Linked DNA regions of Struthio camelus. The protein of the gene in region 2 binds, or shares a complex with, the protein of the main gene of each other region. Links are inferred from orthologs where the notes say so. Each region holds a gene or a part of one and is shown on either strand. Other genes may lie near its edges.

Evidence for each region.
Region 1: NUP214 (region 2) and NUP160 share a complex: the UniProt entries of both Homo sapiens proteins name them as parts of the nuclear pore complex. The link is inferred for Struthio camelus from reciprocal best matches to the Homo sapiens genes NUP214 and NUP160.
Region 3: NUP214 (region 2) and NUP98 share a complex: the UniProt entries of both Homo sapiens proteins name them as parts of the nuclear pore complex. The link is inferred for Struthio camelus from reciprocal best matches to the Homo sapiens genes NUP214 and NUP98.
Region 4: NUP214 (region 2) and NUP188 share a complex: the UniProt entries of both Homo sapiens proteins name them as parts of the nuclear pore complex. The link is inferred for Struthio camelus from reciprocal best matches to the Homo sapiens genes NUP214 and NUP188.

What each region holds. Positions count from the first base shown.
Region 1 is NC_090946.1:5,690,229-5,698,127, forward strand, and holds the start of NUP160 (nuclear pore complex protein Nup160), read right to left. Parts: upstream 3,007-7,899; 5' UTR 2,974-3,006; coding exon 2,771-2,973; intron 2,625-2,770; coding exon 2,414-2,624; intron 865-2,413; coding exon 642-864; intron 257-641; coding exon 178-256; intron 1-177. Other genes in the region: PLEKHG3 (pleckstrin homology domain-containing family G member 3), read left to right, coding at 7,092-7,304, 7,434-7,534, 7,698-7,767, 7,854-7,899. UniProt on the Homo sapiens protein: Functions as a component of the nuclear pore complex (NPC). Involved in poly(A)+ RNA transport.
Region 2 is NC_090961.1:6,136,854-6,144,845, forward strand, and holds the start of NUP214 (nuclear pore complex protein Nup214), read right to left. Parts: upstream 3,006-7,992; 5' UTR 2,654-3,005; coding exon 2,612-2,653; intron 1,011-2,611; coding exon 815-1,010; intron 1-814. Other genes in the region: AIF1L (allograft inflammatory factor 1-like), read right to left, coding at 5,786-5,873, 7,662-7,824. UniProt on the Homo sapiens protein: Part of the nuclear pore complex. Has a critical role in nucleocytoplasmic transport.
Region 3 is NC_090942.1:224,224,216-224,231,323, forward strand, and holds the start of NUP98 (nuclear pore complex protein Nup98-Nup96), read right to left. Parts: upstream 2,895-7,108; 5' UTR 2,866-2,894; intron 2,729-2,865; exon of another isoform or gene 2,560-2,728; intron 1,458-2,559; exon of another isoform or gene 1,398-1,457; intron 893-1,397; exon of another isoform or gene 736-892; intron 589-735; exon of another isoform or gene 449-588; intron 1-448. Other genes in the region: PGAP2 (post-GPI attachment to proteins factor 2), read left to right, coding at 2,895-3,059, 4,876-5,128. UniProt on the Homo sapiens protein: Plays a role in the nuclear pore complex (NPC) assembly and/or maintenance. NUP98 and NUP96 are involved in the bidirectional transport across the NPC. May anchor NUP153 and TPR to the NPC.
Region 4 is NC_090961.1:7,136,250-7,143,907, reverse strand, and holds the start of NUP188 (nucleoporin NUP188), read left to right. Parts: upstream 1-4,645; 5' UTR 4,646-4,679; coding exon 4,680-4,705; exon of another isoform or gene 4,706-4,790; intron 4,791-7,249; coding exon 7,250-7,304; intron 7,305-7,658. Other genes in the region: DOLK (dolichol kinase), read right to left, coding at 1-1,500. UniProt on the Homo sapiens protein: Component of the nuclear pore complex (NPC), a complex required for the trafficking across the nuclear envelope. Required for proper protein transport into the nucleus.

The DNA.
Region 1 (7,899 bases), on a different chromosome or scaffold from region 2:
CCAACTTCAGCACTGTGCTGGATCCTGTGACCAAGTTACTCAACCTTTTTGACAAAGTATTTATAGATGCTGACTCCTTCGTACTTATCTTTGATTTCAACTAGAAACACTAAGGGTCTCCATGTGAGGGAATAAAAAAAAAAAAAAAGTTCCATTTGTTTGTCACCAAACACTAACCTGATGGCAGTTGGCATCCAACCAGTAAGGAAACGCTGCATCACTGAGCTCTGTTTGAGTTCCACGATTGAAATTGTTCCTTTCAAAAGAAAAAGTAGTATTAACAAATATACCGAGTACTTGCTAACAAGAGAATATACTTCCACCAACAAAGGACTTCACAGATCTGATGTAGAAGGGCACATGGGTGTAGCGAAATTATGAGATAAACATGACAAAAATTGAAATCAGCTGAAGTCCAAAACTAGAAGAGGGACGTTACTGGACAGGCTGAGATGTACCAGCACAACTGCAAAGACCACAGTGACACACACACACACACACAGAGCATATCCTAAAGCATATCCAGGACGGAATGGGTGTTTCTGTCTAGACAAGGCTATTTGTTAGCGTGCAGGATAACACTAAACCGCGCTCCATAAAGATATAGATTTATGAAGACACAGCCTGTTCCCACTCCTTACCAGGTGCATCGTGAGGAGGCAGCTTAAGGACAAAGATTCCTCCCGAAGCAGAGGGTAGAGCAAAGAGAGCCTCTCCCTCACTGCTAAGCCAAGCCGCTGAGGCAACAGAATTAGATGCTAGGCCTGGCACGTTGGGAATCATGTAGTAATTTGAAGGATCTCTGAAGTTGACTTTGCCAATGTCTGTAAACACGGACTGCATTTGGCTCTCTGTTATCAGCTCCTGGAAACGGGAAACAGAGAAAGGAGTACCAATCCTCAACACACACACACAGCCACAGAAAAACACCAGTGGAACGACACTTGCAACTCTGCTACTTTATAAAAAGGATCTTTCTGGTAAGACCTCTCTGCTCACCACCACTTTTGGCTTCCCTTACGTTTAACCCATGACCATTTCTCTTTAAGAGCAGAGAGTGAAAGGATTTAAAAACCTGTAAGTTTCTAGCAGAACGCTCTCTCCCTCCCTGACATATGCTAACATCCCCAAAGGAGTCCTGCAGTCCTACTTCTATCGGCTGCTGTGAGAGAATTCATAACAAAACATTGGTAACAGGTCCCAGAAAGAAAGCAGCTCTGCAAAAGCACAGCATCACCGCTTGGAAATGCTCTTTTGAACCCTAAATGCAAGAGATTATGATTTCTCCAAGAGATACCCAGAGGTCACACCAGGATGGATACATGCAACGTAATTTTTGCATAAGATCCATCTTCCACGTGCAACAAAAAGAGATTATATACCTTACTATTTAAACAGGACAAGTTACACACCCGCCCAAGCCGTCTTTCTCTGAACTGCTCAGTTCCTACCTCCAAATACCATTTTGGCCCCTGTGTCACGATGCCTAGCCTAAGACCTGCAAAGAGCAAATACAACACCAGAACAAATACACGCGCAGCAACCATAACCAAAGGCTAGAGACAAGCAGGATGAGGAGCTTGCCAGAGTGACACCAAGCCACTCTAACACTATAAATATGGAAACACTGTAAATCTTATTCCAATGACCAGTGCCTCATCCATGCACGCAGTCTGACTAAATTCAGCTCTACAGGAAGTGAGAGATTCCTTGATTTTTCCTCCAAACTGACAGATACTTTTTCCAGCAGTTTTCAGTTCCACATAGAGATCTACCTTGCACTGATGAACAAACTTGCTGTATTTGGCCAAAAATTAGAGGACTTGTGAGTTTAGCATTTTATAACATCTAAAAAGCAGTTCAGCTAGAAAAGTTAGGAGGTCACTTGAGTAAGAAATTAAACCACTAAACTAAAGAGACGTCCCTAAACTGACACTGCAGCTCTGCGCCTCTGGAAACACCAGAGGGTTCCAGCACAGGATACAAATCTTGATCACACAGCTATGAAACAAACTAATTTACTAAGAAGAAATATTCAGACTGCCGTGGATCTGTGTGCCCAACTCCAAAAAGCACAGGAAGAGCTCTGCTTTGTATTCGTTAGCAATCTAGCATAAATGTTTCTATACCCAGTCAGCCCCTATGACCCAGGCATGACGACCGCAGTGTGGCGTCACCAGGTTTGCAGGATGCCCAGCAGCAGTGCTGGAAATACCACGACGTCCCCACCTCGATGGGAAACACCCTGAGGTCTTTGCTATCTCGCTACTCATTTAGGTGCTGTCCTGAGGGCTCCCGGCTCTGCATACTTGCAGGACGGAGCCGGGTGCCTGGCATGGCAGGAGGCCCTGGAAGCACCTGCACGCCATGCCTACGCACAGGACCTCCGGGAGAGGCAGGTGCCGGTACTCACGCTGCGGTACATGCGGGCAGGGTGCGGCAGGAGCAGGCGGTGCACGGTCTGGGCAGTGGCGAGAAGGATGACGAGGTGGCTCTGCACTTCGCACACGTGCACGCCGCCCGGCAGCAGCGGGCAGCCCTGGATGCGGAGCCGCACGGCGTTGTTGAGCAGGTTGATGTCCAGCGACTCCTCCACCAGCTCCACCTCGTCCCCCGACGTGGTCCTGCGGGCAGAGCAGGGAGGGTATGGGGAGAGGCGCGGGGGCCCAGCTGGCGGCACTGGAGAGGCCCAGGCCCAGGCCGCAGGGCGAGGGCAGAGGCCGAGGCCGCCGGAGCCGGGGGGGGGGAGGGCGGGCCCGGCCTCACTCACCAGCGTATGAAGCGGTTCCTGGTGACGGCGGCGAGCTGGGCGCTCTCCTGGTAGCAAAACCCGCCGGCGCTGTCGCCGTAACGGCCGGCGGGGGCCGGGACGGTGCCCGGCGGGCTGAACACCACCTCCCGCACCCGCCGCGGCGGGCCCCGCGCCGCCCCGCTCAGCTCCAGGCAGCTCCGCTCCGCCAGCGCCGCCGCCATCTTCCGCTGCCGCCGCCGCCGCCGCCTCCTGCCTTCCCGCCCGCCCGCCGCGCGGGGCATCACGGGAAAGCGGCGCCGCGGGGCACCACGGGAAGCGGGCAGAACGGGGTGGGGGTGGGGGGAAGCAGGGGCCGAGGCAGGGGGAGAGGGGCTGGGAAATGGGGAAGGGGGTCTGGGAGAGGGGCTGAGGGAGAGGGCTGGGTTAAGGGACCTGGGGGAGAGGGGCTGGGAGATGGGGGCTGGGGAGAGGGGCCAGGAGAGAGGGGCTGGGTTATGGGGCCTGGGGAAGGGGGCCAGGGGAGAGGGGCTGGGGAGAGGGGTGGGTTATGGGGCTTGGGGGAGAGGGGCTGGGAGATGGGGGCCAGAGGAGAGGGGCTGGGGAGAGGGGTGGGTTATGGGGCCTGGGGAAGGGGGCCAGGGGAGAGGGGCTGGGTTATGGGGCCTGGGAGGAGGGGGCTGGGGAGAGGGGGCCAGAGGAGAGGGGCTGGGTTATGGGGCCTGGGAGGAGGGGGCCAGGGGAGAGGGGCTGGGGAGAGGGGTGGGTTATGGGGCCTGGGAGAAGGGGGCCAGGGGAGAGGGGCTGGGGCCTGGGGCAGAGGGGCGAGCGCAGGGGGGAGAGGTGTTGGGATATGGGGTTTGGGGAAGGGGGCCAGGAGGAGGGGGACCGTAGCCGGGGAGAGGGGTTTGGAGCCTGGGGGAGAGGAGCCGGGACCCACAAGATGGGGACGCGCCCCGGCGTAGGGCTGGGCGGGAGAAGGCACGGGGACGCGCGCGCCGAAACGCCCCGTACGCCCCTCGCGCATCCGGCTGCGCGGCGCCGCTGCGGCAAGCGCCGTTTGGTTTGCTGCGGGGTTCGGGGTCGAGTCGCGCGCCCTCCTCTTGCCGAGCCTCGCCGGGCAAATCGCCCAAGCTCCGCCGCTGCGCCGCGCGGGCAGGAGGCCCGCGTTAGCTTGCAAATCGTCCGCTGCTAATAACAGATGCAAAAAAAAAAAAAAAAAAAAAAACCCAAAAACCCCCAAAAACGTTTTCGGCGGGCGGGGCGAGCGCGTAGCCTTCATCGCGCGCCCCGGCCTCGTCCGCGCGGGAGATAAGGCGCGACCCTTCGCGCTCCCGCTTTGTCGAGGGCCGCTCGAGTTTCAGGTAGAAGCAAATCGCTCGTCCCTGGGCGGCGCTCGGCTTGTCCCGCTCCCCACGAAAGCTTTAAACCCGCCCGGGGGTGGGGGGGGGGGTCTGAGTTGGATCCCCCCCCCTCCCCTCCCCGCCACCCCTATAACACCAGGCTGAGCGGGAGCTGAGCTCAAGGGCAAAGGGACGGCTGTGACCTTCGGGAGGTTGGGGGCGGGACAGGTGGGGGGGGAGCAGGCATGATACCACGGTGATGGGCGCCACGAGGAAAAGCACTTTTGCTTTTGCGAAAAAAAAAAAAACAAAACCAAAAATGCGCTTTTGCTCGAGCCGGGAAAGGTGGGTGAGCGCCCCCCCCCACCACCACCACCACACTCCCAACACCTCCCCGGGGGAGCTGGCACTGGGGGGGGGGGGTCAGAGGGAGCACGAGGCCCTGAACAATCCTGCCTTTGAGCGGGGAAGGCGAGAGCGCGGCGCCCGGCGGCACAAAGCCCTCTGTCTGCCCGCCGGCAGAATGGCCCCATTCTAGCGGTGGCAGGTGCCGCGGGGCTGCTCGGTTGGGCACCTCGCCCCCTCCGGGTCCCCCCCACCCCCCGCCCGGGGGGCTTTCGACTTGGCCCCCTTCCCGGGATGGAGCTTCCTCCTCGTCACCCCCCCCGCCGTCATGCTCTGGGTAGCGGCAAGGGCTGTCGCAGCACCCACCTCTGGCCCCGGGGGACGTGCCCGCGCCGGTGGCGGCTCTGGTGGGGCACCCCGCATGGACGGGGATCTTGGCTGGGTGGCCGTGTCCCCCGGGGCGGGGACCCCGTCTGGGTGGCCGTGTCCCCTGGGGAAGGGACCCCAGTGAGGTGCCTGTGTCCCCTGGGGAAGGGACCCCAGTGAGGTTCCCACGTCCCCTGGGGAAGGGACCCCAGGGAGGTGCCCATGTCCCCTGGGAAGGGACCCCGTCTGGGTGCCTGTGTCCCCTGGGGAAGGGACCCCATCTGGGTGCCCGTGTCCCTGGGGAAGGGACCCCAGTGAGGTGCCCGTGTCCCCTAGAGAAGGGACCCCAGTGAGGTGCCCGTGTCCCCTGGGGAAGGGACCCCAGTGAGGTGCCCATGTGCCCCGGGGAAAGGACCCCATCTGGGTGCCCATGTCCCTGGGGTGGGGACCCCAGTGAGGTGCCCACAGCTCGGGGCAGGGACCCTGTTCGGGTGCCCACGTCCCCCAGGGGAAGGGACCCCAGTGAAGTGCCCACGTCCCCTGGGGAAGGGACCCCAGGGAGGTGCCACATCCCCTGGGGTGGGGGTCCTGTGTGGGTGCCCACGTCCCCTGGGGCGGGCAGGGACCCCGGTGGGACGCCCGAGCCCCTAGAGGCACCCCCGCGGAGACGGCCGTGGGTCCCCCCTAGGGACACGGCCAGGGTGCCCCAGCCCGGGTGGGTGCCGGCACCGCTTCCCCCCCCCCCACCCTCGCTCCCCACGGGACCGTGTCCGGGACACCATAACCGCGACAGCGCCGTGTCCGGTACCGGGGCGAGGTCGGAGCGGCCCGGGCGGGGCGGTCACAGTCTCCGCCTCCCGCGGCTCGTTCGTCCGCCGCTTCCTGCGGGCACGGGCACGGCCCGGGCGGCGGCGGCGGCGGCGGCGGCGGCGCGGGGTGAGTGCGGCGCGGGCGCGCGCGCGCGCGGGGCGGGGGGCGCGCGGGCGCGCGCGCGCCCCGAGGGGGGCGGCGGTGTTGGCGGCGGCGGCGGCGGGCTGCCCCGCGGCGTGGCCGTGGGTCGCGGCGGGGCCGGCGAGGGGTGCGCCGCCCCCCCCACCCCCACCCCCTCTGCTCGTCCCGACGGTGCTGCGGTGGGACGGGTCGTTCCCACCCCCACCCCACTCCGCGCCCCCCACGTCCACGCGGCGGGATTAAGCGGCTTGGGCGGCCCCCGCGCGGGGTGGTGGTGGGGGGGTGCAGCTCGGCTCGACGGAGCCGGCCGGGTGCCTAACGTGGGGGTGACCCCTCGCCACCCCCCCCCCCAAACCACCACCACCTCTGCTTCCGCCCCCCCCCCCCCCCCCCCCCCACGTCCGGGACGCCTCGGCCCTGGGACCGGCCGGCCGTCGTGGCTCTGCCAGGGCGGCCGGGGTTGGGGGGGGGACGGGGCCGAAACGCCTGCTGAGCGGCGATCCCCCCCCCTCCCAGCCACCCCACAACGCCCCGTCTTATGGGGCTGCTCCGGCGGGATCTCCGTCCTCCGGCCCCCAGCTCGCCGCCGCCTCCCTTCCCGCTCCCGACCCACGGACAGGCGTCGAAGGCGGGAAGCGCCCGACGCGCCTCGCCGCGGGACGGGGCCGATCCCCCCCCCGCCCCGGCCGCCCCCGTCTGCCGGTGACGTCGGCCCGGCTCCCTAAATCCCCCCCCAGGTCGGCGCCTTGAGCCGATTAGGCCGGACGGCGACCCGCCGGCGGCCTTCTCCTTCGTCTTCCTCCCGCCCAGACGGCACCCACCGCCCCCCCCCCCCAAAATAGGGGAACGGACCCCCCCCCCCTTTCCCCAACCTCCCGGTAGGGCCCGAAACGCCGGGGAGGAGCCGAGGCGAACCGGCCTGACCGGTTGGCGGCCCGGCACCCTCGAGGCCTCTGCCCGGCGGCGGCGCCCGCCTGCCCGCGCTCCTCCTCCTCCTCCTCCTCCTCCTCCTCGGGCCGCTCGGGGGTAAGAGGGAAGGGAGCCCCGAAAGGCGGAGGTGGAGAGAGGGGGGAGAGCGCGAGGTCACCCTCGGGTCTGGCCTCCGAGCGCCTCGGGCCTCGCCACGGCCCGGCCGGGGTCCGGGGCCTGGAGAGGGGTGGGATCCTCTTCATCCCCCCCCCCACCACCACCCCCCTTTCCTCCCCAAACGTCTGGGGGCCTGACGTGCGGCGCCCCGCGTCTCCCCGCAGGCCGGGCCGGCGGCCCCCGAGATGCCGACATGCCGGCGGCCACCCGGCCGCGGCGCCTGGCTCTGAACCCCGGCCGCCGGCTTGGCCATGGAGGAGGCGGCCGGAGACGGGTTGGAGGAGCGGGCCGGCGGGCCGGGCAACAGGAACAACAACAACGCGTCGCCGGCCAGCTGGCGGGCACCCCGCGGCGGGCGCCCGGCGGCACCCCGCGGCGCCCGTCCCGGCTACCTGGAGCGGGTGGTGCTGGAGATCGTGGAGTCGGAGCGCACCTACGCCCGGGACCTGCGCGGCATCGTGGAGGTGAGCGGCTCGGCCGTTGCGGGGGTGTCCGCAGGCGGCGCCGGGACGGGGTTTGGTTGGGGACGGACCCCCCCCCCCACACACACACCCCTCCGCCGGCGCCGTGGTCCGACTGCGGCCGCCCGGCAGGGTTACTTGGGTAAGATCATCGACGCGGAGGAGCCGTTGCTGCGGCCGGAGCAGGTCAGCGCGCTCTTCGGCAACATCGAGGACATCTACGAGCTGAGCAGGTGAGTGGCCGCGGCTCTCCCGGCGGTACCTCCCGCAGCTCCTTGCCCGCAGGCCTGACGGCGGGGTGAGGGGCCACGCCGCGGCCTCACCGCTCTCGCCCCGTCCTGGGGCGCTCCTGTGTCCCCCCCCCCCCAATTAAGACCCTGCTCTCTCTCCGCCCAGCAACCTGCTGCAAAACCTGGACGGCTGCGACCACGACCCCGTAGCCGTGGCCGTCTGCTTCGTGACCCGGGTAAGGGGGCTTCCGCGCCGATGGGTCCGGCGCGGGCGGCCGGCGGGCCGGGCCGGGCTCTCACCTCGCTCCCTCCCTCCCCGCAGAGCCAGGAGTTCAATATTTACACCCAGTACTGCAACAACTACCCCA
Region 2 (7,992 bases):
AATATGGTTTATGCAAATCCCCTCCCCCAAACCAAAAACACACACACCTAACAGATAGTCCTATAAACAGCAGCTGTCAAAATTGACATATGGAAATTCCCTCTGTGAAAGCCAACCCTTCATCTCTATCAATACTGTTTCACCAGAGGCTCTCAAATTCTTAAGTCTGAGAAATTCTTAAGAAAATCCCATTTTCCTTCCTCACTAACCTGGAGGAAAAATAACTAGACGCGTTTTAGGTTTTACTTAAGGGAGCACGTGGATACTTTGGTATAGCCAATACATATATACATACACAGTATATAGTTATTAAGGAAAAGGTGAGAATGAAGACAATTTTGCACTTCGGTTGTGAGCTTGTGGAACAGTGATTTCTTCCTCTCTTGCAAGACGGTTGTTTATTCAAAGCGGATAACTCGGTGCAAGAACTCTACTCCACTCCACTCACACACATCCTGAATACTTATCCAAGTTCACAGCCCAAAATCTGGCTACCAAAAGAACGCGGGGCTGCAAGAAAAGAGGCACACTCTCACATACGAAAAGCCAATCTCACCATACGGCACTGAACACAGGAAACCAAACCTGAATGACATTTGAACGTGAGCTAGCATAGAGCATCCTGACAGCGTGTTCCCAACGACTATACTCTGCATCAGCTAGAGTTGCAGCAAGTTTTCTTCCTGCATGATTAATACCATAAAACCCAGTAATTTTAAATGCGTGACAAGGACTGTGTCAGAAGCCAAGAGCTCCATACCATGAAAACCTATATAAAGCTGTCTCTGCACAAACACCAGGAGACATGCCTTACCAATTTTATTGGGATCTTCTCCCAGCTGATTTTGCATGAGAAGATTTTTAGTGTGAAAGATCTGCAGACTCGTTCCCCCACCAGCAAAGACCAGCCCATATTTGTTAGACACTGCAAGAAGACTGGACCGCTCTTTGGGAAGATCATCAGGAGCATCAAAGATCCGGACCTTCTTCAGCGCTCTAAACTGAAAATCCTGTTGTAAAAGAGTCAGGAAATAGCTGTTTGTATGCTGGTAACGAGGATCAGTTTACTTCAGTTTCTCTAGGACGGTAAGTTGAAAGGCCTCTCCTTGAGAGCTGCAAAACACCCCTAAGGCAGAGTCCAGACCCACACTGTCCCTGGCCATCCTATCACATTTTCCATCTCATACACTCACTTGCGCTTCATGTAAAGAGCAGCTTGTTTCCATACCTTTTTAAGGTGCATCTTATCTTATCCGCATAGCGCCTACAATTCCCATTATTTACTTCATCAAAAAACTAGTGGAAGTTACGTACACTCCAAAGACAAAACGACTGACTTTAAAATGCTTTACCATAGGTTACCATAAGCCTGTTTTCACAAAACCTGTAGGAGTTTAGTACGTTCAAGACACCTAGCCCTCTGCAAAACGTACCTGAAACTAGCTAATAGATACAGAAGAAAAAGAGAAGGGAACGAAATAGAGAAACATACCGCATGACTAAATAAAATGCGTTTTCTTAGAGACCCAAGCTGCAAAGCACGCATCTATCTAGACGCATCTTTTTTACTACTGTAGTAGCAGTTTAACATACACAGAACAGACATGGTTATTCCTTCCACTGTCCCCCAGGGATTACTTTGTATAATCAAATGTATGTTGTGTGCTCATTCCTCTCATAATTTGCATTGTCATTTGTAAAAGTGGGAAGAGCAGAGCAAGAGATAAACTGCAGAAGTTATAAAGCTACAGAAACACAAATCGACTGCATTAAGAAACAAGTTACGCTATTGTCAGGTGAAATGCTAGACTCCCTTTAGAAATGACCCTGACCCTGTCCTCCCAAAATGCCAATCACTGAATAAAGCACTACTTCATTTTTTCCAAAGCACTGAGTAAGTGCATTCCTGCACGGGAAGGAGGCTGCAGAAACTTAGAACCTCCTGCAAAACAGCCTGACTCCCTGGTTTTTGGAGGTGCCTGAACAGAAAGCAGCTGCACAAAGATGCACATGGGCTTGGAGCATCTGCACAGACAGCCCTGTCTCACCACATTCCTCCCTGTAACACTCTGGGACAGACAGGGAAGCGCTAGTCCAGGACAAGACTCCAGTTTACTCGCCATACGCGGAGCCCCCCACGTTAAGGCTGTGCTCAAGTCTACTGTTCTCAAGGCAGGGGAACCCCAGCACTAGGCATACTGACAGGAGGACTGACAACAGCATCAGTCCTCTCCCAACATAAACTCCAACTCTCCCTTTTTCCTCTCTTAAAGATGTCAGCTCGCCCAAGATCCATGAAAAACAGCAGAGCCCACAGCCAAGCCCTTTATCATCCTCGCAGCTTTACCAAGCCCCCCCTCCACCGCAGGCCAGGCCAGGACACGCCAGCCCACCCTTCCTCCACCACCTAGCCTGTCCCAGAGTCTCCTAAAAGGTCCTCAAGTGCTCCACAGACCCTGGAAGGCTCCCTCCAAAGTCCCTGCCCCCTGTCAGCCCACGCCGCCCCCCCCCCCGGCACGCTCCCCCCCTCCCCCCCGGCACCGAAATCCATCCCCGAGCCCGACGACTTCCCCTCTCACGGCCGGCCTGCCCTCGTCCCCCCACCCCTCACCTTCATCTCCCGCTCGGGGATCACGTCCATGTCGTCCCCCATGGCCACAGCGCCGAGACCCGCAGGCCCCGCCGCCCGGCGCACAGCCGCGAAACCCCCGCGCGCTCCGCCAGCGCCCTCACTTCCGCTTCCGGCGGGGCCGCGCTAGCCAGCGCTCTCGATGGTCCGCGGCGGGAGGCGGCGCGAGTCCTCCAGGGCCGCGGGCCTCGCGGCCGGAGGGGGGGGGGGGAGGAGAAGGAAAGGGGGGGCCGCGCCGGCGCTTTAGCGCTTCCCCCTTCCAGGCCCCCAAAACCAAGGGCCCCAGGTGCGTTTCCAGAGCTTTCCGCAGCTGCGCGGAAGCTGTGGCGAACCGCGTCCAGGCCCCGGCCGCCTTATTTTCTGACGCAGCCGCGGAGCCTGTCAGGAAGGCGGCGCGGGCCCCAGGGTGACGCAGGAGAAGGGCCCTGCCCCGTCACCCCCCCGGGCAGCTCCTCTCCGTGCCCCTGACACCCACTTGCTTTAAGAACCGAGAGGGCGGGAAAAAAAAAAAGCCTTCAAGGGAAAGGGAGCCGCGTCGCAAGCGAGTGCTTTTGGTAAACAAAACTCCTTAAAACAAGCGCAGCCACCTGTTTCCTTTCCACGAAGTCAGAAGAAGGCTGGCTTTCAGGAGGCGGCCTCTGCGCTCTGTAACACGAGCTCCACAGCGCTCGGTCAGCTGTTAGGTTGGGGCCTCCTTGATCTGATCTCTTATCTCCAGGATCTAGTGGAGGGTTTATATTAACCAACTTGGAAACGAGCTTGTTTAATCTGCAACTGGTCGTTTGGTCCAAGCTTCAGAAAAGCCAAACTAAATAAGGGTGACACAGGGTGTAGTTTCAGAAGATTTATTTTTGGTCTTTTCAGTAGACTGGTGCTGCTCTTCCTCACTGTTTTTATCTCTCCGTTACAGTTTTCATTTTCACGCAAACAGCAGTGAGAATTTGTTTTTTATTTAAAAGTGCAGCCTTTGGCAGGAACAATAAGTCTAGCATAGAGTTACAATCATCTGTATTTCCTTTTAAAAAATTTATTAAACAATGATTTTTAAAAAGTTAAAAGCTGCCAAGAACATGTAAGGGGAGGGAGGAGAAGAAAGCAAATATCTGGAATCCAGAAATTGTGCATAGAGCAAGAATCACAACAGTATCCAGAAGGTTGATAGAGTCCCAGCTACCTCTAGATCCTGGCATCCTACTGCATGCTTGTAAATCATTCCTATTTTGCAGGCTTGAGATTTTCTACATCAGGAAAACACACCCAATCGTCCCATGAGACAAAGCTGAAACATACGCAGAAAGATCTGCAAAAATCAGAAAGCCTGAGCAGCAGCACGAAGATAGATCCTCATCCACAATGGTCTGGAAAGACTTGCAGAGCTCACAGTTTAGTCAGCAGTTTCCTGAACCTGCAGGTTCAATTTCCCTTAAGCCTTCCTCAGGGGCTGTAAAGGCCTAACAGCAGGCCTGCTTCTGCACTTTGTGGACAAGACAGACAGCCACCTGTTCAGAGATTATGCTCCAGATCTGACCCAAGCAGGGATTTATCAGGGAGGGGCCCTAAAGTAGCTTTAATCAGCCTCACTTGAGCTGGCTGGTGTTGCACTCTCCACCTCTTCAGGATAGGTTTGCAGCTTCCCTTTTTTAGATCAGGGCTGTGACTTCACTTGCTGCTTGCCTTTTTTTCCTGTGGCTAACCAGTAAGTCTTGGAGGGCAAGGAAAAGCCTAGCAAACTAGGAAGGGAGGAGGAAGACCCAAGATATTAAAAGCAGCAGTGGGTTGATAGCTTTTCCTCAGCTGACAGACTTCGCAGAACTTGTTCTTTTAGGTTCTGTAGAACTTATGCCTTTAGGTTCTGAGGACCTCAGGGCTCAGGTGGGTTTTTAATCCATCATGGTTGCAGAGGCACCCTCCAGTCTGCCTTCTGGTTTAGAAGCATCCTGTGGAAAATTTTGTCTTTGCCTTGTAGCCAGGAGCCAAAAGCTGTCATCTGGAGACAGTTCTTGCCTATTTCTAATCTCGCTTCTGGTAGGAGCCAGTAGGATGCTGCCTGCATGGTTTATCTGCAGACCATGTTCCTGCTGACAGCTTATGTTTGAGATTTTATCATGTCCTCTCAGCAGGCAAGCTGTAGTGGAAGGGCCCAGTAAACTGGCCTCCAGAACAGAGGGGCACGCTAGCCCTACTGATTTCAGGGAGGTAGGGACTCCAGCCAGTTATTTTTGCAAGTTTAAAAACTTATGATATGCACTTAAGTTCAAGGTGAAGCCCAAAGGAAAGTCCTTGCTGAACTTAGCAGCTAAAGAAATACTCCCTTAGGACCATCCCAACCTCAGCAGCAAGCAAAGGTCTTAGAGGAGAGCAAGACCCAGGCACATCATGCTGGCTGAGCAGAGTCTTACTCCTGGGGCTATTGAGACCTGGGACTAAGATCTGCTTAAAGGGCACTAGAAAAGGATCATTAACAGCTCACTTGGCTCAGACTCGTGAAGATCTGACTGCAGGATGAACTCAAGGAGCAGAGAGAAGCCCATCCCTGCAGGAAGCCATGTCCACTCCAAGCATAAAGGCCTTCAAGTAGACCTCTGGTGTCAATGCACCTTCTCATCTTCATTTGGGAAGAGACTAGGCCACAAAGGTGGGAGCCTGACTTGTGTTTTGGCCAGATCAGGAGGGGAAGAACTAGTCCAAAGTCAGGAAGCACAGGATGGAGCAGTGAAGGCACTTAATTCTTTGCACCCATGAAGCTGCTGTCAGGGGCCAGAGCTGCTGCCAGAGAAGCACTCAGCATCTGGCAACGAGACCCCTTAGGAACCTGCAGAGACAAGCACAGCTCTGAATCCACAAGTTGGGAGGAAAGTAGCTCCTTGTCGTCTAGGAAATGCAGAGAGGGCAAGGGAAAGAGTAAGATCCCAGGATTTTTTTCTTTTTGGTCTCACATTATACTTTGTGCTACAGCTTCTCTCTAACAAATCAAGCTGGCTAAGGGATGTAGCAGAAAGATGCGAGCTGGGTGGGGGGTCCCCAGCTTCCCTTGCTGTTCCTCTAAGGCAGGTTAGTTGAAAACTAAGACCGTCCAAAGTAAAGAGTAACAAAGCACAGGTAACCTCTGTTACAGACCAGCAAAGCAAACAGTTCCAATTTTCCAGCCTGTCCTCTTCAAGGGAGGCTGGCTATGTCTCTCTCTGGAGGCGGGCCAGAAGGTTTTGGGTTGCTTTCATTGGCTTTTCCTTCAAACATCATGACCCTGCAAGACAGCAGATAATATAGATGAAAAGAACAAGTCCATCTTCACCCATCATTAGGGGTATACTTCACCCATCATTAGGGGTATATCTCGTCTGCTGAATGTAATGAGCCTTTGCTTCCTATGCAAAGGACATCCCACAACTAACAGGACAGAAAGCCAACAGAGGGCAGTGCTGGCAGCTTAGCAGGCAGCTTTGCTTTTCCAGCAATCTCCAAGAGCGGGTTTCCCAATGCCCCAGCTGGTTTTCCTCCCAAAGCACAGAGGATTAGCATGTTTGCTTTAGACAGCCATTTCCGAATCCCCGGGCATGCACTGCATGCCAAGCACTCCTGATGCATAAAAACATATACCATCCCTGGCCCACCTCATACATAATGACACTGCACAACATTTGAAAGAAACAAAAAAAAAAGAATCAAGCAAGCAGCTGCAGCCAGGCAAGAGGGCAGAGACAAGGAGTAAGGGAGTAGCCAAAGGAATCCTAAGCATTTTGCAACTGCCAGCACTGTCTTCCTCCCTGAGGACCGCAGCCATGCTGGGAATGTCAGCTGCCACGCTGGATCAAAAGATTTCACTGCTCTTGGGACAAGTTTTACATCTCTGCTCCTGCTTCAGAGTCCAACAGACAATGGGGTGCCTGTTTGTTAGCAAAAGGGATCCACCTGTGAAAGCTGCCGCAGTTTAGAGGAAGGATGGAAGATATGGGACAGGCTGAAGGCTCAGCCTGCTTCAGGAGAGAAAGAAGGAAGCAGGGGTGTCAGAAGTCTGTCTGTGCCTGGGAGAACACCACCTTAACACGCAGACCCAGGGCAGTCAGTGCAGAAGAGGAGAGACACATGGCTAACGAGTGTCTACCAGCTCAGAGGGAACATGTGACAGGTGGGCACAGGATCCTTCCTCCCAACCTGCCCAGAAAGCTGGCTGCATTACTAAAGCTGCCTTCAGAAAGGGCCAAGGGGGATGGAGGGGAGCAACTCCTATTCATTAGTTAAAGACACAAAAGCAGGGCCAGCCTGCTCTGTGGTTGTAAAAGGCAAAGCCAGGTTTCAATGAGGCGAATATGGAGCCAAGAGAGCCCACCCCACAGCTAGCAGCAGCCAAGCTAGTGTTCAGAAGCCATTTGTTACAGCAGGACTCAGAGCCCCGTTGAGAGGGCAGAGGAGGCCGTGGGAGGCCAGCGCTGGCAGCTGAAAACCACAGAAAACCTCTACCAGCACAAGCCAGCTGTTTTAAGCATGTGTCCCCTCTCCACCTACTCTCACACTGCCTCGCTCTCCAAAACCAGGCAAGGACAGAGCATCCTATTGCAAATAGGAGCCAGCCCTGCTGGGCCCTCATTCACTGCTCAAGTCCTCACACCATTCACAGGCAAAGCCTGTGTGCAAAGCCAGCAAGAGCCACAGGGAAGAGGCAAGAGGTCCTGCAAAGCTGAGTGCCTGCATGCTCTAGGAAAAGGAGGAGAATCACTTGCACCGATCATGTAGGAGGAAGCCTGCTCTAGCACATAGCAGGCAGCTTTGCCATGAACACCTGCCACTGCCCAGCCCAGCCGCACGGGCCAGCTCTAGATGGTGGAATCCCATCTAGGATCTCAAGCTAGAGGCCTTGTACAGTGGAAGGAACTTGCCCTCCATGAGAGTCCTCCTCTCCCTTCCATGAAGGCCTAGCCCGCACAGCTCCACCTCTACCAGCCAGAGCCCAGGCAGAGCAATTTCTGTTTCCAGGCTCCCCCAACACCCCAGCTCAGATCCTAGGTCTTCCCCATTCCATCCCAAAGGCACTCACAGTTTAAGTACAGCAGAGCGTTTGCCGAGCATTACATTGACGAAGTCCTGGTACGAGATGGTCTCACTAACCCCTCCAGTCACCTCAGAGATCATCTTCTTCAGTTCTAGATGGGTCTTTGGAGCCCCCATTTTCTCCATCATCCTTTTGACAGACATCAAATCTGCAAGAGCAAGGCAGTCAGTGCTACTGAGATGCAATTACACCAAGCACAGACCAATCCTAGGATGCAGGCCTGAGTTCCCAACTCAGACCACCTCACCTATGTACTCTGGGGCTGACAGTCAGCTGAGAGCCAAAAGAAGCCCTCCAGTACAAACCATCACTTCCT
Region 3 (7,108 bases), on a different chromosome or scaffold from region 2:
CGTTAACAGACCCGTGGCGCTGCTCCCAGACCCCCACCGCTTTAAGCCCCTGAAAGCGGGGCAGCGCCTACGCTGCCGAGTTTACAGGTAACGTGTAAACGCGCAGCGGTTGTGGGGACGGAGGGCTCGGCTTCACCCCGCGCGCCCCCCCCCCCCACGGAGCCAGCCCGACAAACTCCCACACCGCCACGGCCCGGCGGGGGCCGGCCCGGCCGGGGCGCTCCGCACCGCCGGGGGCGCGGAACCGAACCGGCAGCGAAGGTCACCCGCAGCCCCTTCGCGGTGGAGGCGGCTGGGGAACAGCGCGGCCTCCCCCCCTCCTCACCGGCCCGGCCCGGCCCCGGGGCCGCGCGTGGAGCCGCGGCCCGGCCCTCCCCCCTTTCCCGGCACCGCCCAACAAAGGCCGCGGGGCGCCCCCCGCCCGCCCGGGGCCGTCCCCGTCGCTCACCGCGGGCGCGGGTCGCCGAAGGGCCGGGGGAAGGGAAGCGCCGGGCCGCGCCAGGCCGGGCCGCACCGGGCCGGGCCTCGCCTCGCCTCTCCCGCGCCGCCGCCGCCGCCTCACAGGGGGAGGGAATCTGCGTCACACTCCGCTCCGCGCGCCTCCCAGCCGCCCCTGCGCCGCGGCGCGCGCGCCGCTCCCGCCTACCCTATTGGCCGGCCCCGCCCCCGCGCGCCCGCCGCTCATTGGCTGCCGCTCTTTGAAAGCGAGACGGCTCCCCTCCCCTCCCACCTCACCCTGGTGGGAACGGGAAGCGAAGGGGCTGCTGCTCTCTGATTGGCTGCAGCCACGCGCCGCGTCCTGCGGCGACCCGAGCGCCGATTGGCCGGGCCCCGGGAGGGGGAAGGGCGGCCACTGAGGAAGGGTCCAGAACAGCCGCACCACTGGGCTACCCTACATCCGGGGCGTTGGGGGGCGGGACTTCCCCCGGCCTGGCCAACCCGGCAGCGCCGGGCCGCCTCCATGTTGTGACGCAGCGGGCGGGGCCGAGGGCCTTAAAGGGGCGCCGCGGGGAAGCACTTGCTCCACCGGGGGGGGGGAGGCGCCCCGCGGGGCCGAAGGCGATTCCAGCCCCACGCGCGTCCCCGTGGGGCGCTCGATGTTGACCCAGAGCCTTCGGCGCCGCCGTACGCTCCTGTGGGGCTGCACCAAAGAGACACACAAGCTCTTGGCCCTGCCGCGCCCCGCGTGGGGCCGCCCCAGAGAGCCCTCGGGCCCGCCGCGCCCCGCGTGGGGCCTCCCCGGAGCGGCCTCGGGCCCGCCGCGCCCCGCGTGGGGCCGCCTCAGAGAGCGCTGGGCCCCGCCGCGCCCCGCGTGGGGCCGGAGGCGGGAGGAAGAGGAGGGATGAGCGGGCGCGGCCTGGCCCAGGGTGGGCAGGAAGAGGCGGGCGGCGGGGGGAGGAGGAAGGGGAGGACGGGGAGGAGCGGCGGCGGCGGCGGGACTGAGCCGTGTGGGGCCGGTGGGTGCGAGGGGGTCACGGGGGGGGGAGACGTGGGGGGAGCGGAGAGCTGGAGGGGTCACGGGGGGCCGGGGGGAGCAAGGGGGAGTGAGGAGCCGGGGGGGTGGCGGGGAGCGGGGGGGTGGGAGGGTCGTAGGGGCAGTGAGGTGCCGGGGGGCGGTCACGGGGGGAGTGGGGAGCCGGGGGGGTGGCAGGCGGCTGGGGGGGGTCACAGGGGATGGGGGGAGCCGGGGGGGTCGTGGGGGCAGTGAGGACCTGGGGGGGTCATGGGAGGAGGTGGGGGGAGTGGGGAGCCGGGGGGGTCACGGATGGAGCTGGGGGGGACTGGGGGTGGGTGACGGGGGGAGTGAGGGGGCCGGGGGGGGGAGCAGGGGGCTGAGGGAGTCGTGGGGGCAGTGAGGAGCTGGGGGGGGGTCACGGATGGAGCTGGGGGGGACTGGGGGTGGGTGACGGGGGGAGTGAGGGGGCCGGGGGGGGAGCAGGGGGCTGAGGGAGTCGTGGGGGCAGTGAGGAGCTGGGGAGGGTCACGGATGGAGCTGGGGGGGACTGGGGGTGGGTGACGGGGGGAGTGAGGGGGCCGGGGGGGGAGCAGGGGGCTGGGGGAGTCGTGGGGGCAGTGAGGAGCTGGGGGGGGTCACGGATGGAGCTGGGGGGGACTGGGGGTGGGTGACGGGGGGAGTGAGGGGGCCGGGGGGGGAGCAGGGGGCTGAGGGAGTCATGGGGGCAGTGAGGAGCTGGGGGGGGTCACGGATGGAGCTGGGGGGGACTGGGGGTGGGTGACGGGGGGAGTGAGGGGGCCGGGGGGGGAGCAGGGGGCTGAGGGAGTCGTGGGGGCAGTGAGGAGCTGGGGGGGGTCACGGATGGAGCTGGGGGGGACGGGGGGAGTGGGGAGCCGGGGGGGGTCACGGATGGAGCTGGGGGGGGCTGGGGGTGGGTCATGTTGGGAGCGAGAGGGGGGGTCACGGGGGGCCGGGGTGGGGTGGGGGGTGTTGAGCTCTTCGGACGGTCACAGCGCTGATTCGCTTTTCGGCTTTGGCCGCGCGGGGGCCGGGCCAGGCTCTCACGTCGCCCCCCCCCCCCCCCCCCCCCCGTTTGCCCGCAGCCCCCCCCAGCGCGATGCCTAGAGCGGCCGCGATGGCCGAGCCGCCGCGCAGGTAACGGCCCGGAGCCGGAGCCGGACGCAGCCCTTGCGGCAGACGCTGCCCCCGCGCCGAGGAGCTCAGCGCCGCCGGGGGGGCCGGCACGCCGCCGCCGGCCTCCGACCCTCGCTGGTAAGCTGCTTCCCCCCTGCCAGGGTTTGACGGGAGCCCCGGGGGGTGGCTCCGCAGCCCGAAAGAGGGGCCGCGTCCTTTGGGGGGGGGGGGCGGAGGGCTGCACTTCGCCACGGGCTGCTCCGTCCCCTTCCCACCTCCGCTTCTTCTTTGCAGGTCCGTCGACATGTTACAGGTACCGCTGCCCCTGGACCGCGATGGGATCCTGTTCCGGCTCCGTTTCACCACGCTGGCTGTTGGCACCGTGTTCTGCCCGCTGTTTGGTTTCCTTTTCTGCGTGATCTGGTCTCTGCTGTTCCATTTCCAGGAGACGACAGCCACCCACTGCGGGGTAAGCGCCTCTCACCGGCCAAACGCAGAGGTCTGCAAAGGGGGCGCCTGGCGCGGCGGGAATCCTGCCTTGCTCCGCGCTCTCCCCCCCGCCGGGATACGTGACCTTGGATACGTTCCTCTCCGTTATTGTGCTGCTGATGCCGCGTGACTAGCGGTTGAGGTTCCCGCTTTTAAAAAGGGATGGAGGGTAGCGCAGCCTGGCCTGGCCGACGTCTGTGCTGAGCAGGCGGGTGGTGACTGGAGAGCAGAACTAGCGAAGCTGCAGATAAAGATGGTGTCTCATGGAAGAGTTAACCCAGCTTTGGCAAAAGGAGTTCCTGCCTCTTGGAGGCACTGGAGGAGTCGCAAGCGCGTGCCTGGGAGCGGTCCGGTTGACAGGGACCTCTTGGGTTCCCAGAAGGGTTCGGATCAGGTTCCTCACCAAGGCTTTCAAGCAGCCGCGGCACAAGCGTGGAAGTCTGTGCCTGCACAAGCACCTAGCGAAAAGGCAGGAGTAGATAATCTCAGCTCTCACAGCAGCAGGAGGAGGTGACCTCAGGGTGTTACAGGTGTCTGTGGTCTTCCTTGTGCCCGTGCGCAGTGGGGTGACGAAGACTGCTGGCGATGGCAAGGTGCTGGTGCAGGAAGGGTGAGGCAGGCTGTCAGGGGCTGCGTCCAGGGCGGGACGCAGCTGGGCGACCGAGCAGCAAAATGCCAGTGCGGTTCCATGCAGAGAAATAAGTGATGTGCATGTGGACAGGCACTCCTGAGGTTGCCTACAATGAGGTGGAGGTGGGCTCTGCGCTGACCATCGCCGCTCCGGAGTGAGGTCTGGGGGAGCGATAGATGTTCTCGTGAAACTTCCACTCGGTGCTCAGGAGTAGTTGAAAAAGTCAATCAAAGCCCAGGAGTTGTTAGGAAAGGAGTAGAGCAGAGCGGGCGGCATTCATGCCGGTGTTGGCCCGTGGCTGAGACGTGTCTTGAACAACGCGTGCAGGTCTGTCCCCTCCTCCCAAGCAGCAGTACGGGATCTGTACGGAGGAGAGCAGCGAGGATGCTCAGAGGCGTCACGTGGGGATGACGAAGTAAGCAAGGATCCTTCATTGTCAAATGGGAAGAGATGATGAGGTGGGAGAGGTAGGATAGAGACCTCTAAAGCCATGGCTGGCGTGCAGAGCACAGACAGGGATCCCGTTCGCCCTCTGCCAGCGTCAGAGTTAGAGGACGCCGTATGGAGGTGGCAGGTTGGCAGCAACCCCGTGGGACCCGGCTCCTCCTCAAGCAGAGGGTAGTGGATCTGTGGACTGTCCATCCACAGGAGACTGTGGGTACGCAGCTCTACCTGGGTGCCGGCCAGACCGAACGAGATCACGGAAGAGTAATCCGGTGTGGATTACCTGCTACGTAGCCATCGCAGCCGGCTTGGGAAGTCCCTGAGCTCTGAATCCTTGAGGCTGGGAGTCTGTTCTGGGGCTGTATCACTGATGTTTTGCTTGCTTTTATGTTCCTCCCTGAACATGCCTTTTGCCCATTGTTCCTATCAGTTTTCCCTGTTAGGGATGGGCTCCCAAAACCATGCACTGCACCCTTCTCTCCTCTCTCTCCCAACCGCCCCTGCTGCTCCCTGAGACCGGCCAAGGATCCTGCACCCTGGCCGGCGCTGGAGACCGCGTGCTGGGCTGGATGGACCCTGAGGCTGAAGCAGGACTGCTGCGCCGTTGCATTCCCTGGCTTGTGACACAGGAATAAAACTTACCTCGCCGATCGCTGTAGCGTCTCGGAGAGCCCGCCACACGTTCCCTGTGCCTCTCCAGCAGCTGCTGTCTTCCCTCCAGGTCCCCAACTACCTGCCCTCCATCAGTGCCGCGATCGGGGGCGAGACCCCTCAGCGCTACGTCTGGCGGCTCTGCATCGGCCTCCACTCGGCGCCCCGCTTCCTGGTGGCGATCGCCTACTGGAACCACTACCAGAGCTGCCGCTGCACGCACCCTCGCTACCTGCGCCTCTGCCACTTCAACCTGCTGCTCAACCTGCTCGAAAACTTCGCTCTCCTCGTCCTGACCTACGTGTCCTCGTCGGAGAACTATGGTAGGTGCCCCTTGCCGCGCTCTGCGCCGGCCGCCTTGCCGGTGGCTTTGCTCGCGGTTGCCGAGGTTTCGCAGAGTTCTGCTCCGTGAGGACGTTTTGGAAGTAGTCCGTTTGGAGAAGAAAATAGTTTAAAATAAAAAAGTTCTGCTTCAAGTAATGTTTATATGGCAAAATTATATCCACAGTGTGCGGGTGGAACTTTTCTCCCTGAAACGCTGGGTTGCTGTTAATTCGCCCAAACCACAGGCTGAATTTTTGTAGCAAGCTTGAAATCAGAATTTACGGTTTGGTTTCCGCTTCTGTGCTGAGACCATGCTTAACGCTTCTTGTCACAGTCGAGTGTACAAAGGAAGATTAGTGCCTGTTCCTGCTATCAGCTGAGGTTTGGCTCAGAACTGGCTTCCAGCCTACGCTCTGTCCTGGCAGCCTGTTAAATATCCTCGCATGACATTTTCTGGGTGAAACTTCCTATGTTGATCTCGGGACAAGTTAGATTTTTTGAGGTTAAATCACAGCATGCAAAACAGGATCAAGACGGGCTGGGAAACGCCCTTCTCCCGCGTGGTCTCGTCGGCAGTGACTTTCACTGCGAGCGGTGACGCGCGACGGCTGACTCGAGCCGGCGCACCAGCAAGGGGGTGCTCTTGCAGAGGAAACAACCCCAGTTCTGGGGCTTGTTGGCGGGACGGTCGCGTGTCAGATGTTAGCGCGCTCCGCTGGGGTGACGCTGCCCGGCTCTGGGTGCTGCGCGCGAAGGACGCAGCCGCAGAGCCCCACCAGAAGGAAGCCAAGCGCAGTCCCGAGAAGGAAAGGCCGCGGCAGCGTTAGTTTGGGGAAGGCGAGGGAGCAGCGCTTACCCGCCGCGGTGAGCGGGGTGAGCTGGGGTGCAGGAATGCAGCTGATCCCGTACTCGGCAGAGTATGTTTGTACCCACAGCGGACGGGAAAAACCAATTCTCAGAAGGCAGACGCGGTGGGTGTCGGGAAGCCTTTCGATTGCTTGGAGCAGCAAACTACCGGGACGGGCTACGGCTCCGTCACTGGGGCCCTCCAGGAGCACGGGGAAAACGCCGCGGGGTCGAGCGGATCCCGCCTCGGCGCAGAGGACGGGATGCGCCGTTCAGATGCCCCAGAGCGCATTGCCATCCTCGAGGATATGCCTTGCAAAGGGCCACGGCGCTCCTCCCCGGCGGGCTGGTTACCTGCAGAGCCCTGGGGCTCGTTGCACTGATGACAGCTCCGCCAGACGTGTGCAGAGCCCTGGGCGGAGGTGGCTGAAGCACAGCCGAGGGGGTGGGCAAAGCCTATGCTAAAAGCTAAGGCTAACCCAGTTTGCTCTGCTCTTCTTATTATAGACTAATCTCAGGTTCCTAGGGAAAGTCTCAGACCGTAGCAGCAGCCTCACATGACGGTGGGCTCAGTTTAATCATCTCTGGCAGGACACTGCTCATGTCTTCACAATAAGAGCTGCCTCTGCGGTCTTTCTTTGCTGTGGTCTGATGCATCCTCTCCCCTGAAACAGGGAGGGGAAGGCAGGGAAGCGTCGCTCCTTGCGGTGGGGTGTCCTGGTTGCTATTTCCACTTGCGAATTCAGTTCTTGGAGGAAGAAGCTGGGAAATTCTTTACTGAAATGGAAGCACTCACTTAAAAATAACTCACCTGAAGTTGCCTAGGCCTTGCCTAGCCAGTGTGGCTTTGGGGCCTCTGGGATTACTCGGGTTTAGGGCTGCTCCAGCCAGCTGTCTTTCTAGCCTGACCCCAAATCGACTTAAGCTCAGCGACGCACAAGCAGCCTTAGCGTTAATGACGGGGCTGGTGGCCCAGTTGTTAAGTGGCAGGTAGGTGACGCGGGAAGCCAGGTGATGGCCCGATCTGGCTCCTGGACTGACTCACTCTGCAAACGACCCTCTGTGCCTCAGTTTCCCCATCCCTAGGACCAGAGCAATGCTGCTGGCTGCCTTTCTAGGGTGCTGGAGGTTTG
Region 4 (7,658 bases), about 1.0 Mb from region 2:
AAGAGAAACTAAGCTCACAGACCCCAGAATCCAGGCATAGCTAGAGTTCAGATTCACGCTGCTGTCAAAGATCAGAATGAGAGCCACAGCAATGATCTGGGCAAAAATAGCTGTCATCGTCCCTTCAAAGGTCTTCTTCGTTCCTGGCCATTTGATTTCTCCCATTGCACTGCCAAATACTGAGGCCATTGTGTCTCCTACTCCTACAGCCAGTACCCCAGAATAGGGGACCAACGCTCCTGCCCCAGACAAGACACCTTTAGGAGCGCAAGGTCTTGGAAACAACCACACTGGGAGGGACATGCCAAGAAGAAGATAAATATGAGTCAAGATTAGAGGTCCACTGTCTCGTTCATCCAAGAAGAGAGACAGTAAATGCCTAAGGGTTTGGCCAAATGGTTTGATCCTGAAGTATCGAATGTACTCTAAGAAGATAAATACTGCCAGGCACAATACTGCAGCAATGTAGAGAAGCTGGCGGTCATAAATTAGTCCGGGGACATAAGTAGCTACCACAATGAAATGGAAATATTTCCTGGTTATGGTTGAGGCCTGGTGTTTTTTAGACTCAGATGATCTTTTAGCGTTCTGGTAGAAAACTATACCACATGCTGAAGCAGCCAACACGGTCCAATATACAAGAAGGTAAACTCTCGTTTGCGTCTGAAATAGAAACTGGAGTAGCCAGAACAAAGGATTTCTCTGGATCAGCCGGTAAAGCCAAGGCATAATGACCCCTAGGCCTAGCACTGCTGTCATCATGTGGAAAAACATGGAGGAGATCCAGGTACCTGAATCCATGAAAGCGAAGAGAACAGTGAAAAAAATCCCAAGAAGAACAACTCCAACAACTGCCACCAGAAGAAAAAAGTCTATGGGATCACCTCTGCTCTCGACTACGTTCAGTGAGCGTTTAATGAGCTGATTGAGCACAAAACTTATACCCCCAAGAACTAACAATGCTTCTCCAGGAGTAAAACATCGAGGCAACACGTACAGCAAGATCATACTGAGGTAGACAAAAATTAGCAGCACTTCTAGGACCTCTATCACTTCTGAAACAGTCAAAGAGTGCTTCATGGTATAGATAATTATACTGCCAGCAACACCAGTAAGTATGCAAGTGTTGGTTGGTACAGGTTTTGTGATGCCAACCGCTATTACAGACAGAAAGAGAGCAACCAACATGCCAGTGGAAGCTACAACTATGCCAAAACGTTCAAAGTACACAATGCCAGCAGACTTGCATCTCTCTTTCATCACTATTCCCAACAAGGGGATGACCATGCTAGCTGGTAGGAGGCCACTGTTCGCTGTTGTACGAAACTGGAATACAGCCCCACCCAGCTGGAGCAGACGGTCCCATTTGAATTGGACATAAAAAGCCTGGACGGCAAGAGCTATAGTGCACCAGGAATACCGGTCCCACACCACCATGTGCACACACAGAACAACGATGAACACGATCAGCGATTCCACCAGCACTGGCTTGTTTAACATGATTCCAGTCCGACGTGGCTCAAGCTTTCAAAATCTTTCTCACGAGTCCCAAATATTCTCAACAGTGGTCCATTAGCAAGAATTCCCTTTCATCCTACTGCAATTCCTATTAAAAAAAGAATACACAATTAAAAAAACTACTAGAGAAGCTAAAGCTTCCACTCGGCTGTGTTGTTCGTAAGCTCAGTTTAAACTGATAGCCACGGGCAAACTATTAATGGCAACACGAAGCCAAGTGAAAAAATAAAACCAAACGGACAAAGGGATCAGCCAACGCTTTTATCCATATTTGAGAAGCAGAGAAGGCAGTCTGCGGTCACAGAAATGAGTACCGAGTACCACTCAGTACTGTGGTATTCAGATACACACACTAAATACTTCTGTTGCAGCCTCTTTGAACTAAAATATGAAGCAAACAAACCATAACTATTCCCAGAGAGTTTGGTGAGGCACTGAGTACATTTGAAATATAGTTAATTTCATAGTTTAGAGGTAACGTTAGGACCTAATCTTGTATGCTGTTTTTGCTGTTGTTTTACAGTGACTTTTTTTTCCCTTTTGATAAATATTTTTCTTCCCGCTGCTGTGCAAAAAGCAAAGGTACCTCTCTCCTTCCATTACTGATGTTATGACTGAATACTTCAATTACTGCAGCAGCTGTTTTATAACATTATATAGTGTTTACAATAAAAGTAGGAAAGAAAACATTGCAATCATTAAATACTTTACTTCATCTAAAGTTGACCTATTACTAGAACTGTCAACGTAAGCTGAGTCAGAGAACTGAGCTCAGAAGCAGCAAATGAACAGAGTTCTCTTGCCTACAGCCATGAGAGGACTTTCATCCCATCCTTAGTATTAAGCAGCTGAATTTGTTTTGTTTCTACAGCGCTGTCGGATCATATTTGTTATGAAGAGATCAATTCTAAAATATACCTCCAGTCCATCTTGATATATTGGCAATATTCTATTTAGCTCTAGAATATGTTGTAGCAATATCGTTTAACCATTATGCAGCTTAGTGAGTAAATTTGATTTATTCACGTTTATCTCTAAGGAAAGGTATTGGCTTCTGTTTCTCCTTAACTCATGTCACAGCCTCTCCCTGATTCCAGCTGTCTCAATTGCAAATGAGAACTGTACGTGTCTCTTTTACATAGAGCCTAAATCTGTCTGACTGACTAGAAATACTTCTAGTGTTAGTCTGTCATTAATGACATCTGACAAATCCTAGCAAGCCAAACTATTTTTTGGGACTCATCCCCAAAAGGCATCATAATCTTACAGAAATGATTTGTTTAGCTAAGCGCTGGCATTTATGCATCATTTTCTTGAAATTCTCAGCAGTGAGTGAACCTTGTAACACATTCTTGATCATGATATAAAGCTGTCATTGCTTCCTATATCCCCTCACTCCCGTGTCTTGCTTATGTTGGCTGGATTTACATCATTTCGCCTTCTCAGTATCAAGTCTCACAGCCACTGGCAGCTGCACTGCAAACTAATCATTCCCTTAAACCCCTGGACTATAAGATAAATGGTTGAGATTATCAGCAACACACGATGATTCTATTAGGTTAAGTTGCATCTTATCTATCTCCTTCAAAGTACTGTGGACACTCAATATTGTGCAATTCTCACTAGCATTTATTGTTTTATTGTTATTTATTGTTTACTGTTTTCTGGTAATATGCATTTCTCCTTATGCATGATTTGATATTCAGTCTTAGCTGCACATAAGCCAAAGACATTATACTGACATCGCTCTTGGGTTCTTTGAAAGTATTCGTTTCTGTATTTCTGTTGGTAATAGAACGGTTGACCCCTTTCTCTCCTGTCTACTGTATGCTGATAAGATATCTCCAGCTGAAACTGTGAATAACATCTTCCTTTTTGGCCCACTTAAGTTGAGCAGCAGTAAACTCTTATCAAATTCTGCTTCCCGTTCTCATTACTAATAGCTACGTTAGCTTCCTCATGGAAGGCTATCAGTTTATATTTAAAATTGTTTCTGTTTTTCATCCAGTGCTGGCTGGTTTCACCAGATTATAATGCTGATACACGTTTTATTAGCGATGTTACTGGGTGACTATCAAAGTTCGTATCGCCCAACTCCCTTACGTTGTGGGTCCAGAGAATGTTCTTATTTATTACATCTCCGTACTGAAAATTCTGACTTTTAGTTTTCAGTAGCTTGATTTTCAGCATCTTTATCAGTACAGCCTGCAATATTTGATTGCCGAACCTAAAGACACTACGTTTACTGTTGCTATACAGCCAGATCAAGCTAAACGTAATCTCTCTCCCATACCAACTCATTTCTGAAATAAAGAAGAATTCAACATGTAGTCAACAAAAATAGAATTAGCATGGACGATAGGGCCAATAGTGGTTTTGTGGTCCCCACTCTTTGCTCTTTCTGGGCATGGGGGCGGGGGGGAAAAGCTTGAAGCTTATTTGAGAAGAGCCTGGCTAAAGGCAGAAGAGAATCCCTACTCAGTTTGGCTGCTTCAGGGTTGCAGCCCAGCTCTTGCAGCAATAATGGCACATGACAGCTTCGCCCTAGCACGCAGCCCGCCAGCTGGGCTGCGAGACGAAGACGACCACCCTTTCAAACGCGGGTTTTCTCTTCTGACGCAGCGGCCTTTGACAGCCGCCGACCTGCAGCTGCAACGCGGTGCACCTCGCTGCTGAATTACCTCATCCTGTGCCCGTGGCAGCTCCCCCTCCCTGCCCTCTCAAGGGAAAATGAAGCCCCTCGGCGCATCCCGCTTCCTCGCGAACAGGAAGGGGCTCCCCCTCGCTCCCACTTTCTAATAACTTTGAGGCGTTTTCTGGCCGTTTCGGGTCTACCTCCTGCCGCCCCTCCTGCCGCTGGCGGGCTCCGTCCTTCCCCGCGACAACAGCCGCCGGCTGCCGCAGCCCCGCGGGCCCCGCTCGGAGGCTCGGCCCGGGGCTGGCCGAGAGGCCGCGGCCTCCTCCTCCTCCCGCCGCCGCCCGCCCCGCGCTCACCTCGCAGAACGCCGCCATCTTGGCGCTGGCGCCCGTCACATGACCAAACCCGCGGGCGGAGAGGGGAGGCGGGGCGGCGGCAGGGGGGAGGGCTTCCTTCCCCTCCCCCGGCCCCCCCCCCCCCTCCTCCGGCTCCGCGCGGCGGGTCACGTGAGAGGAGAGCGAAGATGGCGGCGGGCGGGCTGTGCGCGAGGTGCGGGGACGCGGCGGCGGTTGGTCCGGCGGGGGGAGGGCGGCGGGGGAAGCACCGTCCCTCGCTGCGCGCGCGCGCGCGCCTCGCCTCCCCTCCGCGGGGGGGGGGAGGGGGCAGAGCGGGCCCCCGCGGGGGGCGGGGAGGGGAGAGATAACGGCCGCGAGGCCCGCGCCGGCCTGCCCCGCCGTAGCCCCGCCCCCCCCCCCGCGCAGCGAGGCCCCGCCCCCCTCCCCTGAGGGGGACCCCCCCACACACACCCGAGGTGGGGGGAGAGTGGGACCCTGGTGGTGGGGGGGGAGGGAGGGGGTCTCGCACCCAGGCCGGCCTGCGCCATGTTCCCGCCCCCGCGCAGGCTCTAGCGCGTCCCCGAGAGACCGTATCCCTCGCGGGGGGAGCGAGAGACCCACGCGAGAGACCCCCCCGGGCGGCGTGCGTGGGGCTGCCCGCCCCCCCCACCCGCGAGACCGCGCCCCGGGCGGCGGGCGTGGGGCCGCGTGTCCCCTCCACGAGAGCCCCCAGGTCAGGCCGGCGTGTCCGCCTGCAAGAGACCCCCCCCCCCCCCCGGTCAACAGCTGCGTGAGGGACCTCGCCTTCGGACGGGACCTGAGGAGATCGGGCGTTCTCGGGTGGGGTGGCCGCAGGCCGCGCGCCCGTCTGTGACGGACCCCCAGCCCTGAGGGGGCCCAGCGCTGGTCTGTGGGAGAAACCCCCTGCGCCTCCGTCTGTGCGCGCCGTCGGTCCCTAGAGAGGTCGAAGGAGTCTGCTCGCGCGGCGGACGTTGGGCGAAATCTTCAGGGATTTCTGTCATCCCTCGTTTTGGGGGGAACGAAAGCGATGTTTCTGAGGAAGGTCTGGAGTTGCCCGCTCTAGCAGGTGGATCTCCCCTTTGGATTTGAACGTGGAAACTCTCCGTGGTGTTCTTCAGTGGGCTGGGTTTTTTTCTCCCCCAAAACTTAGCAAGCATTGGTAGTGATTTTTTAGGCATTTTGTGTTTCTTTTGTTCTTCCACAATGTAAAAGATTAAGTGCTAAATAGAACTGCTGTTTACAAGCTTTGGCTGCCAAGCTGAAGTCTTGATTTATGCTAAAGTTTTGGAGGTATCTGTCAGACTTCTTTTAAGTCACAGAGTTATTGTCACAAAGAGCATAGATTTCAGGGTTTGATTTTCGTTTTTTGAAGAACTGAACCCTTTGCAAATATAAAATTAAAATAGCAGAGATGTGGAAGATGTGTACAGGAAGCTATTTTTTTTTGATGACATCCTGGTCCAGTGATCACTTTGGACTGATGTCTTCTTCGGTTTTGTGTGTGGATTTTGACATATATTGTAACGTTTTTGGATTCAGGAAAGTTCCTAGTAGTCTAATTACAGTAATGCCTACAAGCGCTAATGGGGACAGGAACACCACTGTTGCATATGACCACATTAAGAGAGCTTTCTTAGCTCTCTTAGCTCTCTTAGAGTCTAATTAGCGAACTGGCAACAAACAGTGGTCTGTTTTAATCGTAGAAGAGGTTTGGATGGAATGAAAATGAGAAGGGTTGGCTGTGCCATACTGATGCTCCGTTCTACAAAGGGATGCTTTTCTTGGTAAAATTGTGTGGCCTTTTCAATGCTCTGTGTGGGCTGGAGAGGTTGCACCCGCAGCTGGTTGCCAACGCGGGTCAGGAGAGGTCCTTTAGCTGCTATACAGGGAGGTGCATCTAACTGTCAAGGAAATTGGCAGGTAGAAATTAGGTTGGTTGCGCTGCTGAAAATAATAGCGCGTATAATCCATTTAAATAGCACCATGTGTCAGAAGTTACAGATGACTTTCATTGCCGTAGTGAATTCTCTTGAAGACGTTATTCCAAAAATAAGTTAGTATGTTTTTTTGTTTTTTATAAGAGTTGTTGTACAGCAATCTTTGCATGATGAGTAGTGCTGTTTAACTCTTGATTTGTTTTATATTGCTAAAAGATCGTCAGTTAGCTCCGAGTTCCTGAAATGTTCTACTTGGGTAGCAACTTTTTGCAGAGCTGTTTTAGGGAGATTCATCTTTCTGGTTTGCATATGCCTGAGTTAGGATTTGATCTGTAATACTTAATAGCACAAACTGGCTTTCCTACAAAGTTGTAAGGAACAGGGAGAAACAAGAAGCTCAGGGTTAATATTCCGAAGAACTGAGGCAAACATTCTACCTTATGTGAAAGTATTGCCGTTTTTCACTTTACCTAGTTTTATTTTCCACCTGGAGTGGAGTAGGAAACTATTATAGAGGAATTTGTTTGGAGGAGAGCAACAAATGACATTGGATAAAATATTGCTCTCTACTTTAATTAGATTTCCTCTTACTAACCTCAGATGTCCAAATAGCAAAATCAGATTGAGCTAATAAACTGATATAAATGTGCTGCTTCCTTGATATGAGTTTATGTTTCCCTGTACCACCTTAATGTGATCTGCTTGAAGTAAATTGCAACTTTAAAAAGGAGTAAGCTAAATATAAACCTGAGACAGTGTTCATTAGTAAAATACTCTCTACCTTTTCCCTTTGTTTTTAGGAGCAGCAGAGAATTGTGGACTATTCTTCTGGGCAGATCAGCTTTAAGAGAACCAGTAAGTCTGTGTCTGGCGAGGCAGGTTTGCCCGTCACTGAATGGACTTCGTGGCCTAAATACATCATTTGTTGTGCAGCTGTTTGAATATCAGTGAAAATATGTTTTTGCTGCTTTTCCCTCTTCCTCAGTGCGATCTTTTTTTTCCCTCTTTTTCCACTCCTTGTTTATTTTTCCACTCCTTGTTTATAGCTGCTTCATGAACTTCTACCTGGAAGGGTGTATGTGAAAAGGTGGTTCCCTTTCTGAAGCGGACACAAGTGGTACTTTCTAGACTGGCTGGCCTGGGTATTCATGAGTGGTACAGCCTGCTTCCTTATTTTCTGGGACGGAGCCCGTGCTTTCAAGAATGTGC